Linked DNA regions of Saccharomyces cerevisiae S288C. The protein of the gene in region 3 purifies or fractionates together with the protein of the main gene of each other region. This does not show direct contact. Each region holds a gene or a part of one and is shown on either strand. Other genes may lie near its edges.

Region 1 (5,479 bases), on a different chromosome or scaffold from region 3:
ATGAAGATTTATAGAATTCGACTTGGTAACCTTGCTCTTCGAAGATTGTAATAGCAGTTTGATTAACGTTTTCTAATAGTAAAATCTTCATATCACCCGTTGAGAAAGGCTTCAAAATTTTTGGGTGCTTTACAGCATTCAAGCGCTGTGGAACGGTATTCATGAAAGATTGCGTAGGTGAAGTACAAACAGCGCCTGGGGAGCCGCTCATATTCATAGCTTGTTGAAAGGTATTTTGTAAGTTGTTAATGTCAATGCTTGTCATTGCTGTCGATTTTTCTGTGGTTCTTTATAGAGTTCTGTATTTTTACTAAGATAGTTGACAAGTATCAAAAAGTGAAATAACTAGAAATGGTTCTTCCTTTATATACATAACAGTTTTAAGAATTTCCTTATCCTCTGCTCCCTCCTTCCAACAAAGTAATTACTCATAACTTGGATATTTGTCTGATTTTTTCATCCCGCTCAGAAAACCCTGCACGGGCAGCGTTGCATTTTCTTAATTTTTTTCTCGTGGTAGAAGTCAAGGACAATAAATTGCGAAATTAGGTGGGAACGAGAAGAATAATTAAAGTGCTGAGACCGAAGTTGTTCCCCTTGAATTCCATTTGTGAGTAAATATCGAAAATGGGTCCACAAAAAAAATTAGGTTTTTCTAAAATATTAGGTCCAGCCTAACTGCTTAACCAAATTTTTAATTTGTGATATTTGCACATAGCTTGGCCAAACAAAGGCATTACTCGATTGTGAGTAAAAAACTAAAACAATGTAGATAATCAGGATTAAACAATGGCATTTCTATGGATTTGTTGTTCTCTTTATATATTTGAGGAAAATTCAAAGATAATGGGGAGAAAGGTGGAGATGTATCTCCACCTATCGTAAATTTGAAAGTTCCGCTTTTCCGCCAATTGCACCCAAACATCACGCAACGCTTTTTAAAACGTTATCAATATATCCAATCCAGCATTGTTAAGTTGATTAGTAAATGGAAGAGATTCCATTGTGTACAAAAAAGGGTTTTAACTTGATTATTTTGTTATAACGTTCTATACAGTTGAATGAGGTAAAGAAAACAAAAAAATATTTCATTTTTAGTATAGATTATTTGGTAGCTTCAGGTTGCTTCACGGTGTAGTCTCCGTTCTCTTGCTTAACAATACTGCCGGAATTTAATAGTTGATCAAACATATCTTGAGGAATCCACCCTTGAGTGGCAGCAAATGGTGTAGAGATTAGCTTTTCGTGTAATTTTTGCAAATCCTCAACATGTCTTTCAATATCTTCTTTACTATAGTTTAGAGGAAACTTTTTCTGATTCACTAACTCATTCTGGGCAAAGATGTCCCAAACTTCCTTCAATTGCAATAGTGATTCATCAATAAGTAAATACTCTTCTTCCGTTTTTCTTTCGACAGCTGCAATATATGGGCTTCTCAGTAGCTTAACAGGTGGGGCAACTGCAGTAATTAATTTAGGATTATTGTCATTTAATTTTTTCTCCCATTGATGTTGATTACGGGTGCGCTTGTACATGAACTGATATTGCACCTTTTCCGCCTCAGATAATTTGTCAAAATCGGTTATGTCCTCCTTTAAGTCATAAATCTTGGGCCCATCATAGGCGATGAATTGTGGCGAATTCTGTAAAATGAAAGGTTTTGTGCATGCTCCTTCAAAATCTAATAGATAGGCTTCTTGTGCTTCTTTGTTAACAATAATATTCATGGGGTCTAGATCAGGATGAAACAAACGTGGTGACAATAGTTCCTGCATATTTGGAATGGCCTTTGTTTTGACGTTGAATAAATCCGGGGCAATCTTAGCTAAATTTTCATAGGTAGTTATTTGCTCCTTCAAAGTTCGAGGATACATCAATTCAGCTGAACTTCCTGCCTCTTTCATGGCTATTCTAGTTTTAGCATTTTCAGCTTCCAATAGGCCAGTATTTTTAATTATATCCATTGGAGACTTCTTTGGCCATGGTCCCAAAAAAGGTTTCATTTGTTTATGAAAATCCAAGTGAGATTTATGTCTCCAGAGACATCTTTCCACGGATGGCCCAATTTTCCATCTGTTTTGTAGATCCGGATTAGTTTCCCCATCGTATATGTCTTCCTTAACAAACTCCTTCTCATTTCCGTCTTTTAAGTCATTGTTAAAATATATGGATCCAAATGCATTTAATTTCAATGACACTAACTTCGACTGAAAATCAGAAACTTGTTTAATAACATTGTCATATTTTTTTTGATTGGAGGAACCGTCTTCAATCAATGGATCCCAATCTTTCATCAAGAGTTCTCCTTCGATAAATTCTTGTAAGACAAAAGGCTGCCTTACAGGGTTCAAAGAATTGACACCATAACAAAAAATCTTGGGAACTTTGATGCCCAACTTCAAGTCAGCAAAATCCATGGTTGCTACTTCACTTCTTATTCTGTAGGATAGAGTGTTTTCATTTTCCAGCGGATAAGGAATCCTCAAGATAAATGCCTTGTTCAAATTCGTGTCGACCTTGTATATTCTGTGATGTTTACCTTCGTGAATACTAGATAATGTGGTTACTTGAACTTTTTCATTTGGGTTGATTTTACCTATATTCTTTGGTACAACGTTATTGACCAATGAAACGGTCAAGTTCTTGTTAAACACTGGTGGTAAGATCTTACCGTCGGGGGCCTTAGCCATTTCATTAGATTGAATGTAGATGTCATTGAGAATGCGATTTAAACCTTCAATCGAAAACTTCGTGAATCTTTTTTCCTTTTCTTGCTTATCATTTTTAAGCCATGAGCCCCACGTATATTTGAAAAAGGCATCTCTCTTTGGATCATTGTCATTCGTTAGCTTGGTAAAAACTTCGTTTGGCTTATTGGAGATAAATCTCTTGGTGGCGGCGACGGTGATACATTTAATTGCACCCACTCTTTTCGAAGCTCCTACTACACACCTTCTGGAATGGCCAGCAACAGTGTACCTAATCATGCTTGGTCTTCGTATTGCTGTCTTGCTTGCTAAACAGCTTTTGCTACTTCTTCTTCGCTGATGAGAAAAGGGAGTCTACTAAATACAGTTCGGCTTAAAGTGTCGCTGGTCAGCAATCGGCCCGAAAATACATTGAACATTTGAAATTACCATGTTTCAAAACGAATATTTATTATAATTATTACTAGTAAAAGTTATACATAAGAAGGGAATAATACAAAGAAACGGGAAACAGCTAAATGTAGTATATAGCCGAAAGATGTGGACATATCCCAACAAATCGTCTTATGAGATCCTTTTTTTGTTTTATATTTTTTTTTTTTAGCGGGTATAAACGTATCATTTATATATTTTATTCTTTCCTTTAACTCTCAAAATTTGAGCAATTAGGTTACTGTGGTTCACGTGATTCAAGTGTGCACATTGCTGCTATGCTTTGTAGTATTATCCATAGAGTTTAGGGAGGGGGAATGGTCGGAGAGTGGGTAATTTGCATTGTCTAATGGAGCAGAATCAGCGTTACTTTTCTGGAAATAAAACTGGTCCGATAACGAAGTAGTAGAATCAGAGGTGAGATTGGAGTTGGAAGTGGTGTTGAGTTTGTAAAACTTTTCGGTTTGATCATGCGATACCTTGTATTTGTCATCCTTGTCATTCTTCTTTTTTTTGTTCTTCTTTTTGTTCTTAGGGTCTACCATATTGCTAGTCTTCGGGGTAGGAGACTTTGTTCCATTATTGTGATCATATTGTTTTCGAACCATGGAATTCAATAAATTAAGTGAATATTTCGGAATCCCATCTCTTTTGACATTAATCCCCTGAATACCATCCTTCGTGGCAATCATGGAGGCACCTGATGTGATGGAGCAACCTGAGTTCGTTCTCGTTATCCTATCTTCACCAGAGGCAATATTGGAAGGGCTCATTGATCTCTGATCTAAGTCCAGGTTAGTAGACCTGTTATTAGTGTAAATGGACTGATCATAGAGAGAGATGGCAGATGCAACATCTTTTGAGCTTATTGAATGTGATGAATCAGGCATTATTAACTATTCGCTTCCTTTTCTTATCTCAGCAGTTTGTGTTTTTTATTCTTATTGTTATTATCCCTTTTAACTATATATGCATAAGCTAAGTTAAATATTAAAATATTTATATATAAACGTTACAGGGCGTGTGAACACATTTGAAAAAATGCTGGAAGGTAATGGTAGATATAAGAATTGGAATAACAGGTTGATAGAGAATCGCCAAGCTAGAGAGTTCTGACAAGCGGCAAGGGGGAAGGATGAGACGCAGATACGAAAGCCGCACCATTAAACCGTAAAGAGAGAAAAATAAAGAATGACTTATTTCTCGGAAAGGCCAAATGCAATTATGCAACACGCACACATTCACACTCACACTCACACATAAACTTTGACTGAAACCAAAACTGTTGTGAGTAATAGCCTTTCTTGTTCATAAAATAGTACAAGATACAGTAAATATATATCAACTCACCTGGTATAGGGATCACTTACTGCACTGCAAAAGTGGATCGTTTGCGCAAGAAACTCCACCAATTCTAAAGAATATAATAGAAAAAGCTAATAGGAAAAGTGGTCATTTTCTGTTGATATGTTACATAGGATAAACCCAGTACGGTTTTCTATGCAATCTTGCCAAAGATACTTCTCGAAGTTGGTATCGCCATTGGAACAGCATAAAAGTAATACTTTTACTAATAGAGTCAGAATCCCCATTGAGGCAGGCCAACCACTGCATGAGACAAGGCCGTTCCTTATAAAGTCGGGCGAGTTGACACCAGGCATTTCAGCCTTGGAATACTATGAAAGAAGAATTAGGTTGGCGGAAACATTGCCTCCCAAAAGTTGTGTGATTTTAGCTGGTAACGATATCCAATTTGCATCTGGAGCAGTATTTTATCCGTTCCAACAGGAAAATGACCTGTTTTATCTTAGTGGTTGGAATGAACCTAATTCGGTCATGATTTTAGAAAAGCCAACGGATAGTTTAAGTGATACAATTTTCCACATGCTGGTTCCGCCAAAGGATGCGTTTGCTGAAAAGTGGGAAGGATTTAGGTCTGGGGTTTATGGTGTTCAAGAAATTTTCAATGCCGATGAATCTGCTTCCATTAACGATTTGTCTAAATATTTGCCCAAAATAATTAACAGGAATGATTTCATCTATTTTGATATGCTATCAACTTCTAATCCCAGTTCGTCCAATTTTAAACACATCAAGAGCCTGTTAGATGGCAGTGGGAATAGCAATCGATCATTGAATTCCATTGCGAATAAGACCATCAAACCCATCAGTAAAAGAATTGCAGAGTTCCGTAAGATCAAGTCCCCTCAAGAGTTGAGAATTATGAGGAGAGCTGGCCAAATATCAGGAAGATCGTTCAATCAAGCCTTTGCTAAAAGATTTAGGAATGAGAGAACTTTAGATTCCTTTCTTCATTACAAGTTTATATCCGGTGGTT
Region 2 (4,804 bases), on a different chromosome or scaffold from region 3:
TTTCTCATTGAAAAAAGATATAATACTTATTTGCAGCCAATAGTGACGGATTCTAGTGTTCTTCTTTTCCATAAGTTGATTACGCTATTCACCCAAACTGACTCTTTAGTGCGCTAATAAGCTGAGAGGATTTGAGAGGGAAAAAAAGAGAGAAGGACAGAAAAGAGCAGCCTGAAATTCATAGCATAATGGTTAAGGAAACTCCATTACACTCATCTTCATCAACTTCGCTGTCTTCATTATTTAGGCCAACTAAGTTGAAGAATTTATCGGCTAAAATATTCAATGGAGGTGGTAACCAATCATACTCAAAGACAGATGATGTTTCAAGGTCTTCTTCTAGATCTTCAAAAAAGAATACAGATTCTGACCAAGAGGATCAAATAAAGTATAACAAACCCAACGACCGAAGATCTACCATAGGAAAGAGCCCCCAGGGAAATGGCGCGTTGTCAAAGGAGTCACACGTAGTAGCAAGTTCTACTTTGACAGGTATTTCTCCTACTTCAGCTAAAAAAGCTCCTATTGACTACTCTCCTTCACGGCCCTTACCTAACAATCATAATCCCGTTCGTACGGGACACACTGTGCCCCACTTACCCCATAGTATTCACAATCCAATAAACTACATTCATCAAGGCTCAAAAGATGCTTTCCACCATCCTCACCCCGTTCGCTCTACAGCTCATAGCAACATTTCTACAGTGTCTTCTGCAAAATCTGATACACCCTCTTCGAATTTATCATACCAGGCACATATGCATCCCGTAGAGATACTACAGAAACAGATTGAAGACAAACACTTCATGGACTCTCAAGCCTCCACCCCTGGGTCCGTGGAACTACAGCATAATTCTTCAAGCGGTAGTGATGATACCTCATCAAGAAAGAAAAAATCCTTGAGATTAACAAGATTTTTCAAAAAAATTCATAATGATTATCACGATAACCATCATCATCACCACCATCACAACCGTGGATCCACCCCTACAAAACCGAAGCTCAATTTGAACACCAATGAAAATATAGTAGAAAGTAACGGAAAAGCGTTATACGAAACAGATAACCCAGTGGAGCTATTAGAAAAATATGGTATTCCTGGTAGAAAATTAGGCGAAGGAGCTTCCGGTTCAGTGTCCGTAGTAGAAAGAACAGACGGCAAGTTATTTGCTTGCAAAATGTTCAGAAAACCACACTTAAACAATGAAGGAACTAATCAGTCTCAATTAGCTAATTATTCTAAGAAGGTTACCACTGAATTTTGTATTGGTTCCACGCTGCACCACGAAAATATCGTTGAAACCCTAGATATGTTGACTGAAGGTGACACCTATTTATTAGTAATGGAGTATGCGCCATATGATTTTTTTAATCTCGTCATGAGTAACCTAATGACACAAGATGAAGTCAACTGTTACTTCAAGCAGCTGTGCCACGGCGTTAATTACCTGCACTCTATGGGCTTAGCTCATAGGGATTTAAAATTGGACAATTGTGTCGTCACTAAAGATGGCATCTTGAAACTGATTGACTTTGGGAGCGCTGTAGTGTTCCAATACCCTTACGAAGATACCATTGTAAAATCACATGGAATCGTGGGTTCTGACCCTTATTTGGCTCCTGAGTTATTGAAACAAACATCCTACGATCCAAGAGTAGCAGATGTGTGGTCTATCGCTATTATATTTTACTGTATGGTCCTTAAAAGATTTCCTTGGAAGGCTCCAAAAAAGAGCTTCAACTCATTTAGGTTATTTACTGAGGAACCTGAGGACGAAGATGATATAGTTCGGGGGCCAAATAAAATATTAAGGCTACTGCCAAGACATTCACGGACAATAATAGGCAGAATGTTGGCTTTAGAACCAAAGCAAAGAGTTTTAATGAATGACGTGGTAAAGGATGATTGGCTTGTATCCGTCCCCTCCTGTGAAGTTGACCCTACATCTGGCGATTTGGTTGAAAAACCAAAGAATCATAAGCATCACTTGGTCACTGAGGAGGAGTTGAATGAGCTGACCAAGCAACACGGGAATAAAGATTCAAATTAATGAAATAAACACTTTTTAAAAGATAAAACCTAAAAAATTGTATATAGAAGATTCAAAGTACTATAAAAGGCATTATATAGGAATAAAAGATGGTGTGCATACAGGTGAAAAAGAAAACTAGTTAAATCTGGAAAAAAAAAACGCTCATATATATACAAAAACATAAATACATTCGTCAAAACAAAAAGCGCTTAAATAAATAAAAGCATTTTTTAGATAATCTCAACGGGCGCCAAATTGAAGTCACCCGACGCATAAAATTGTGAACACGCCCTATTAGATTTTACAAAGAGGAAGTCTCCTCCCCTATAAACTGCAAAGAATAATTGAAAAGTGATTTAGCGCAGATAAATAAGACCACCATAACCACATATGAGTAGGAAAAAATGTTCAAAGTTCCAGTGGGATTAGCCAGTAGGACAAGGGAGCTTATGAACAGCGTTACGCTCAATAGTCTCAATAATGGAAAGGGTTTCAATATGTACTTGCCAGGAATATTAAGGGCTTTTCCTAAACCAGTGCCTTCGGCGATTACATCTCCCGCAATTCCAAAATATCGAGGAGAAAGTTTCCAGTTTCGTAAGCTTTCATGCATTTCTTCTAATTATTGTTCTACCACTCACCAATTTCTATCCAGTCTGAAAAGCTCGACATCCAGGTTGGTTGGTAAAAGAGCCTTCCATTCGTCACGACGTGCAGAAATAAAGTTTATATTTTCTTCGAAGTCACCAAAGAACGGTAACAAGCCGTTTGTGAAAGTATATAAAGTCTCCCCATTTTTTATCATATTTGCAACTGCAAGTATCTTCACATTCATTCTAACATCAACGATAGTCGTTATTCCCTTAATTTTTCACTTTTTTTTTCCCCTTCTTATTATGTTCTTTTTTTTTAAACAATTCAAAAAATGGCAGAAAAATATCTTTTACAAAGATGTCTTGACCTCCTTACCGAAAACAAAATTGAAAATAACATTACCCACCATGAGATCATTACAATTACAACCTATGGTTCAGAGTTGGAAAGAGATATCTTCCAGGATGGGAATTCCAAACGAGTTTGCCAAAGGTTTGAATGTTGATTTAGTAAAGCAAGAAGAAACCAGAAAGCAGTTTCTAAGTTTCCTGCAGAAAAGAGTGTTGGAGTCCTTCACCAAGAACGAACTGGGAATAAGATCCTACTTTTTAGGAGACAGCGTCGAGAAATGGATCAAAGAATCCTATGACTTGGAACTCGATATTGATAATTGCCGAAGTGAACTCAGAAAATTCCAAACTTTCATATTTTCCAGTGTTCGATACAAGTTGTATTTAGACTCAATGAAAAATTTACCGCTAAACCCTTCAAAAAAACTCGAGGGCAAGAAGCATATTGCAGACGTATATGTCATTATTTTAGACGAATCCTTTCCTGCAATAATGTTCAATGGCGGAGCTTATTCGAAGGCTGATTTTTTCAAGATATTACAAGAAAGTGAAACCTCTAACAGCAGCAAAACCCTTAACACAATTATTGCCATCAAAAGTGTAAATACGCTACTATCAAAACACTTTGTTATCACAACAAATGGTGATTCTGGAGAATTCTTTTCAAAATATAACATTTCAAAAATAAACGACAAAAACACTGAATACACCCTAAAAGAGTAAAGAACATTAAAGTTTTTGTTTGAGCATTACTGTGATGCCACAATTTATATATCATACATGTTTATATATTCTGACCAATACCTTTATTTATGGTGTGCAGTGACACAAAATAATTTTTGGTGTCACTTCCATCGTATTAAATGATAATATCAATTAGAAATAGTAAACAAAACCAAAAAAAAACTACCAAGGGTTGCAAAGAGTAATAGTGATGTTTATGTGAAGGCAAGCTTAAAGAGAATTTAAGATCTACTATATTAATAGTAACCTACAAAATTTATAGAAGCCTACTTGACCCAGCCCACTGAAGTCTGAATAGGAATATTGCAGTTGTTTATAGAAGTAGCTTTACAACCAAAATAATAAATTGTTTCTGCAAGAACTGGATGATCTCAAAACAAACATGTCAACAAACTCATTCCATGATTATGTGGATTTAAAATCGAGAACTAATACACGACAGTTTTCAGATGACGAAGAGTTCACTACGCCTCCAAAACTAAGCAATTTCGGATCAGCTTTACTTTCCCACACAGAAAAAACTTCAGCATCAGAGATATTATCAAGTCATAATAATGACAAGATCGCAAATCGATTAGAAGAAATGGACAGGAGTTCATCAAGGAGTCACCCCCCACCGTCAATGGGCAATTTGACATCCGGTCATACTAGTACCTCATCGCATTCAACCTTGTTCGGACGATATCTGAGAAATAATCACCAGACTAGCATGACGACGATGAACACTAGTGACATAGAGATAAATGTTGGAAATAGTCTTGATAAGAGTTTTGAAAGGATAAGGAATTTGCGACAAAATATGAAAGAAGATATTACGGCAAAGTATGCTGAAAGGAGAAGTAAGAGATTTTTAATATCCAATAGGACAACGAAGCTGGGTCCTGCAAAGAGAGCGATGACTTTGACAAATATCTTTGATGAGGATGTGCCTAACTCTCCAAACCAGCCAATAAATGCAAGGGAGACAGTGGAATTACCACTTGAGGATTCTCACCAAACAAACTTTAAAGAAACGAAGAGAAATACGGATTATGATTCAATTGATTTTGGAGATTTGAATCCTATCCAGTATATTAAAAAACA
Region 3 (5,455 bases):
TACCCAGTATCCAAAATATTCTCTGCTGTCTGAGGCTTCGCCCTCTTGCCATAAACCAAAAGCATTCCCATATTCAGTACCTAATATATGTCTCAATAGCGGTATGGAGAGCATTCTATGCAAATGTGAAGGTAATAGAATATAGAGTGTTTGAAATACTAATTTTTGAAAGTGCAGTAAGACAGGAAATTTAGATATTTTGCTAAGCTCATTCGATTGTAACATATTGAAAGCTCGGTATGTTATGCACTGAGGATCCATATATTTAAGATTAAACAAACTCTCGCACACAAACCTAATGCAGCAATATTCATCTTCGCAAGTGGGTGGTAATTGATTTATTCTCTTCGCAGATTTCATGTTGTTGATGCGCGGTATCCATTTACTTTCAATCTCATCCCATGAAGACTGTATGACATTTTCCGAAATTAAGATAGAGTTTAATTTTTCCTCCTGTTCAGAGGTATAATTATATCTTTTCAGCATGCTTGGAAAATGATGCAGTAATATCTCATAACATTCAATTAATTCAATGATATTTGGTATTTGAAGATAAGAAGTTCTGCAATGTTCTGAACAGAACCACAGTCCAGCGCCCAGAAACTTCTTAGGGTTAATTTGGTAGTGTGCATTACAAACCAAATCTCTCAGGTAATCGTAGTTTAGTTTGTACTTCATAGTTTTCGCATTAGCGTATGCGAAACAATTGTGACAAACTTCCTTCCTGAACTCATAGGAAATAGATGTTCCTGTAAAATTACTGACTTGCAAGACTGTTGTCCCTTTAGGAATATTACCATTACTGAAACAAGCCCTACCGCCCCATTTAGTTTGCCTAACCTGGAAAAATGGGGAAATTTCATGTACGTCTCCATCAATAGTCATTTTTAAATTTTAGGTTATTTTGTGTTTGCATATATAAATGGTATATATATATATATATATATTCATATAAATCTAGGGCTACATTTATAATATCAGAGATACATAAAACGGTAATGCAACAGTGGAGCAGTATTGTATCGCACGTTTCTTTTTTGTTTTTGTTTTTTAAATTTTTCCAGGTTTTGACAACGTGATGAGGTAATCTTCTGTTTTGCATATCCGCGCAATTTAAAATGCAGGCGACAAACCTTGTTCCAGGATTAAGGTTCTCTTTACTTCAATTCTGCAATGGGTACCATAGAAGGTCTCCCGTGGGCGCATTCGAATGGGTTATGGCATCGCGAGAGCTTGCTAATTAAAATTATGCACTCTTGCCGGGTTAATTCATCTCCAAACATAACAGCAGATCTGCATGCCTTGCTGTTAAGAATTTCATGAAAGACCGTTGGAACGCAGCTTGAGTACTTCCACCAATATAATTTATCAACCGAAGTGTAGTTTTCGAAATGGGATAAATCCATTGGAAGTTTTTTGAAATCCTTCAGGTCATGAGCATGTTGCAGCAAGACCATTTTTAAGTAGTCTTTATCCCCGTTATATTTGGAAGTTAACATCTCAGGCAGTGTTTTAATTTCCAAAAGTGAGGTTTCCATTGTTCCCTCAATTGTTTCATAGCCAATTCCCCACTTTTTAAATTCACTTTGATAATGCTTAAATAAGTCAGCCTCAGTACGATCAACTTCAATGCAACAATCCTTGAGGTCTCGTGCAACAAAAGTTCCGGTTACAACTTCTGTCAACAGGCTATAAAATAGCTCTTCTAGTCTTATCCTCTCATCGCAAGCATGTTGATCAACTAGAACTAATAGTGGGCAATTATGAATAGATTGGTCTAAACAACGTATGAGAATAAATTTTTTATCTACTTGATTAATCACTTCATATTTTGCCAGGACAGATCTTGATATTGAAAAATCTGTTATGGTTTTTCCTATACTGTCATAATCTTCTGTAAAACCACTATCGTAGGGCCTGGAAGAGAGTTTATTCCGTAACCTTGATTTCTGACCGTCGATTCTTATATTCTTGATTTTTTCGTAGTTTATTGTACTATTGTTTATTCTACATCCATTGACAGCGGGTTTTCCTATGTATGAATTAATGCGTGCAATCTTCATTTTTGAATTTAATACTTGATTACGTTTACTGATTTGGATTCGACTATCAGGCAATGTTGCCGTCTTCTGTGAACAATTGACTATTTCGAAAGATGAATCTGATTTATCAGGCGTTAAGTATCCTTGAAATGTCAGAAAGGAGCGAATGGTCTTAACGATCAATGGTTCAATGGTACGTATATGGGAAGGCTTAACAATTTTCTTTGCTGGATCTTGTAACAGGTCATCGATAGTTTGGGGGCACCGAACATCAAGGATGAAGACGGGATGTGATCGATACGGTTTTCCCACGCTTTTAGTTTTGAGTAAACTCATGCCTTTCTCCCCGAAATCTTGTGCTTGGAATAAAGAATCGACGTATCCTTGAAAGGCGCTGTCCGCATAACGTCTGCCATTGATATATATAAATTGAAGATCCTTCAATCCAACGGGCATCTTCGATATGATCCCTTCAATCTGATATTCATTAAACTTCAAGGAAACTTTCTTAAGCATATCCGGTGGTATTATTGCCCCAAACACATTTCTCAGTACTTGAGACATTTGCTGGTGCTTTGTTAACCCCTCAGTTATGTTCTTTGAGCGGAAAAGAACTTCTGTATTGATTCTGAGTTTGTCTGTATATTGTACGTTGAGTGAAATCATCGGGTGCATTACCAGTATCTGTAGCATATCTGCCTTTATTGTGTTAAAAGTCTTGAAAGGGGGTTCTTCCTTTAGTATTCTGCGCCGGACAGGTAAATTATACAGCATATCTTCAACAATAACAACAGTACCAGACTTTGTTCGGCTCCAAGGACAAATTTTCCAAAAAGGATCTATTGGGAGTATGGTATTCTCACTCAACATGACGCTTTTGGATGGAAATTTTCTCATCCATGCAGAGTTGTAATCCTTTTTCTTGGAACAAACAAACAGATTAGAGACATTAGAAATGCTATATAGGGCGTCTCCTCTGTAACCGTAGGTTTTCATCGTTACTAAATCATTCATCTTTCGTATTTTGGAAGTATAATTTTGTGTGGCCAATATATTTAGGTCACTTCGAGTCAAACCAATACCATCATCGTAAACTGCAAAGCTCAAATTAGGGAGGTCGATCATGACGTCGATAGTGGTAGCGTGTGCATCTACAGAATTTTGAACTATTTCTCTAACCGCTGATGCTAGCGATACCGTGCATGCCTGAGATTTAAGTCTTTCAGAAACATCAGAATCTAATTTCCTAATATGCTGGCTCATTTTCTTTTTGAGTTGACGAGTTCACGTTCATTCTTCCTTGAAAGCCTCGCTGGTTTATGTATCGGTGGTTGAAATCATCATTCGATGTTTATTGCAAACTATTGATCTTTTTTTCCTGCCCCTTCTCGTGGCGCTCGCAAATAAACGCAAACTAAATATAAGCGTACAAACAGACAGATTTTGTGCTACTTATTGATTATTTAGAAAAGCTACTATTGTTCTTGAAAGTCATAATAGAACTACTTATATATGTATCAATGGGGTTGAATTTGCGCTTTATGTATTTTTTAAGGAATGATATGAAAGTTGTCTCTAGTCTATTTATTGAATCGTAAATCAAAAAATACTAGTGATCCCATATAGGATAACTAGTAAAGGTTTCGTTAAAAGTAGCTTTTTTTCTCGATTCAACGTCACGCATTAAATGTGGGTACCGTTGTTAGCAGAACCTGTAACATTACTAGCATCGGCAGTTATAGTAACGTATTTAACAACAGGCTCCGCCGTAGTAGTAACCACTTCGGTAACTGCAGCAGCTGTAACTGTAACATACTTGGTAGACGCACTACAGTACTGTTCATCGGCGGATGTGGTTTGAATCATCTGAGATTGATGTTCAGCAGAGACTAACTTTTCTAAGGCATCAACATTGGAGGCGGCGTCCCCAGCTGTGGATGTCGCTATTGTATTACTAGCTTGGGAATTATATACAGTAACCAATAAGGTTGAGGTCAAAGTAGAGGTGTATGTACTGCCCGATTCGGTTACTGTAGAAGCAATTTCTGTGACGCTCGTGGAAATCTGTTCAGCCTTCTCGTTGGCGGATTCCGTAGATAGAGTTATTATGTAAGTAGAGGTCAGAGTAGACGTGTAGGTGGTGTCTGTGTCAGAATAGGTGGTGGTGTATTCATTTGTGGACGTAGTTAGGCTAGGCGTGCTTGCAGTAGGTGTACTTGCAGTAGGTGTACTAATAATAGCAGCTGATTGGGAGGTAGTGAACCAGTAGGTAGAGTAAAAAGTAGATGTTATGTAGAAGGTGGTTGTTTCATCGCTGTACGTTAATGTTGTCTCTTGAGGTGAAACAGAGTATGTTGGAGTTAATGTCTTCGTGTATGGTGTATAGCTCGTAGTTTCATTGACATATAAGGCAGAAGCGAAGTTGGAGGTTACCAGTAGTAAACTACACAATATTTTGAAAATCATTGCGATATATATTCTAATTTGTTGGTTGTGTTAGACAACTAGTGTACAAGAAAGAGACTAGATGGCCATAACGGATCTTGATAATTCATTTTCTTACGTCTTTTAAATACACTCCCTCTCCATCACATACAGATTGATTTAATGTCTACCTCTTCTAAGCCATCTGAAATTCTTGGGTCTTTCTCTGTTTACGGTTATTTGAAACACGAAATTACTTAAGAACACGAAATGCCAATTATTAGCGTCGCGAATTGAATATCCAATGCGGCGGGAAAATCAAAAAACGAAAATAGAATAGGAAAAACTGCCGTAGTTATAGAATCAAACCTGAGCGCCAGTTTCATTCTTCTAGCGGAGAATGCTTTCCCAAACAATAACCCACAGATTATGTGTTGAAGAGTCTAGGCTTGTGGAAATTGAAATCAAAATGTTTGTTCCCTTTAAAAAAAATCAATTAAGCAAGGAAAGGAAATAAACAGTGCATGCTTTCCTTATCCTTGGAATACTATATTATGCTACCATAGCTGGAAATGTTGTTATCCTTGTTAGGCACTTCATTTGAGACTTCCGATAAATCAGGAATTTCGTCATTTAGGAATGTGTTCGTTTCAAAATTCTCTGCATTGGTTATCGTTAGGCTCTCAGAATGTAACCTGATGACATTGTCGACACAAAAGTACTGGAAGCAATTCAGTAAGATAGGAAAGACAAACATGACCAGAAAAACTTGAAAGTTTGGCCATGAATCTGACCAGCCAAGGATAAGATCGGCGAACCAGTATGCCAAGTCTTCTAAGTAGTTTAGTATTAGAAACACGCAGAACTTCATCACGCCCAGCCCAACAATGAATATAAGCAGCTGTTTCACGAAGGCAGAGAATAAGGGTTTTCTGGGGTGGCTCCCAACGGTTTTAGATGGAAAATAATTACCACTTTCAATGTTTTGG

Evidence for each region.
Region 1: the proteins of MLH3 (region 3) and AIM9 purify together in Saccharomyces cerevisiae (affinity purification with mass spectrometry, with the first as the bait; one large-scale study listed by BioGRID). This does not show direct contact.
Region 2: the proteins of MLH3 (region 3) and MRX9 purify together in Saccharomyces cerevisiae (affinity purification with mass spectrometry, with the first as the bait; one large-scale study listed by BioGRID). This does not show direct contact.

The regions. Positions count from the first base shown.
Region 1 is NC_001137.3:317,472-322,950, reverse strand, and holds AIM9 (Aim9p), read right to left. Parts: upstream 2,989-5,479; coding exon 1,105-2,988; downstream 1-1,104. Other genes in the region: phosphoglycerate dehydrogenase SER3, read right to left, coding at 1-265; YER079W (uncharacterized protein), read right to left, coding at 3,399-4,031; YER078W-A (uncharacterized protein), read right to left, coding at 4,141-4,305; ICP55 (aminopeptidase), read left to right, coding at 4,609-5,479.
Region 2 is NC_001136.10:402,591-407,394, reverse strand, and holds MRX9 (Mrx9p), read left to right. Parts: upstream 1-2,437; coding exon 2,438-3,700; downstream 3,701-4,804. Other genes in the region: putative serine/threonine protein kinase RTK1, read left to right, coding at 189-2,051; serine/threonine/tyrosine protein kinase MPS1, read left to right, coding at 4,104-4,804. UniProt on the Saccharomyces cerevisiae protein: Component of MIOREX complexes, large expressome-like assemblies of ribosomes with factors involved in all the steps of post-transcriptional gene expression.
Region 3 is NC_001148.4:238,193-243,647, forward strand, and holds MLH3 (mismatch repair protein MLH3), read right to left. Parts: upstream 3,306-5,455; coding exon 1,158-3,305; downstream 1-1,157. Other genes in the region: SET6 (Set6p), read right to left, coding at 1-885; SVS1 (Svs1p), read right to left, coding at 3,726-4,508; YPL162C (uncharacterized protein), read right to left, coding at 5,014-5,455. UniProt on the Saccharomyces cerevisiae protein: Involved in DNA mismatch repair (MMR), correcting insertion-deletion loops (IDLs) resulting from DNA replication, DNA damage or from recombination events between non-identical sequences during meiosis.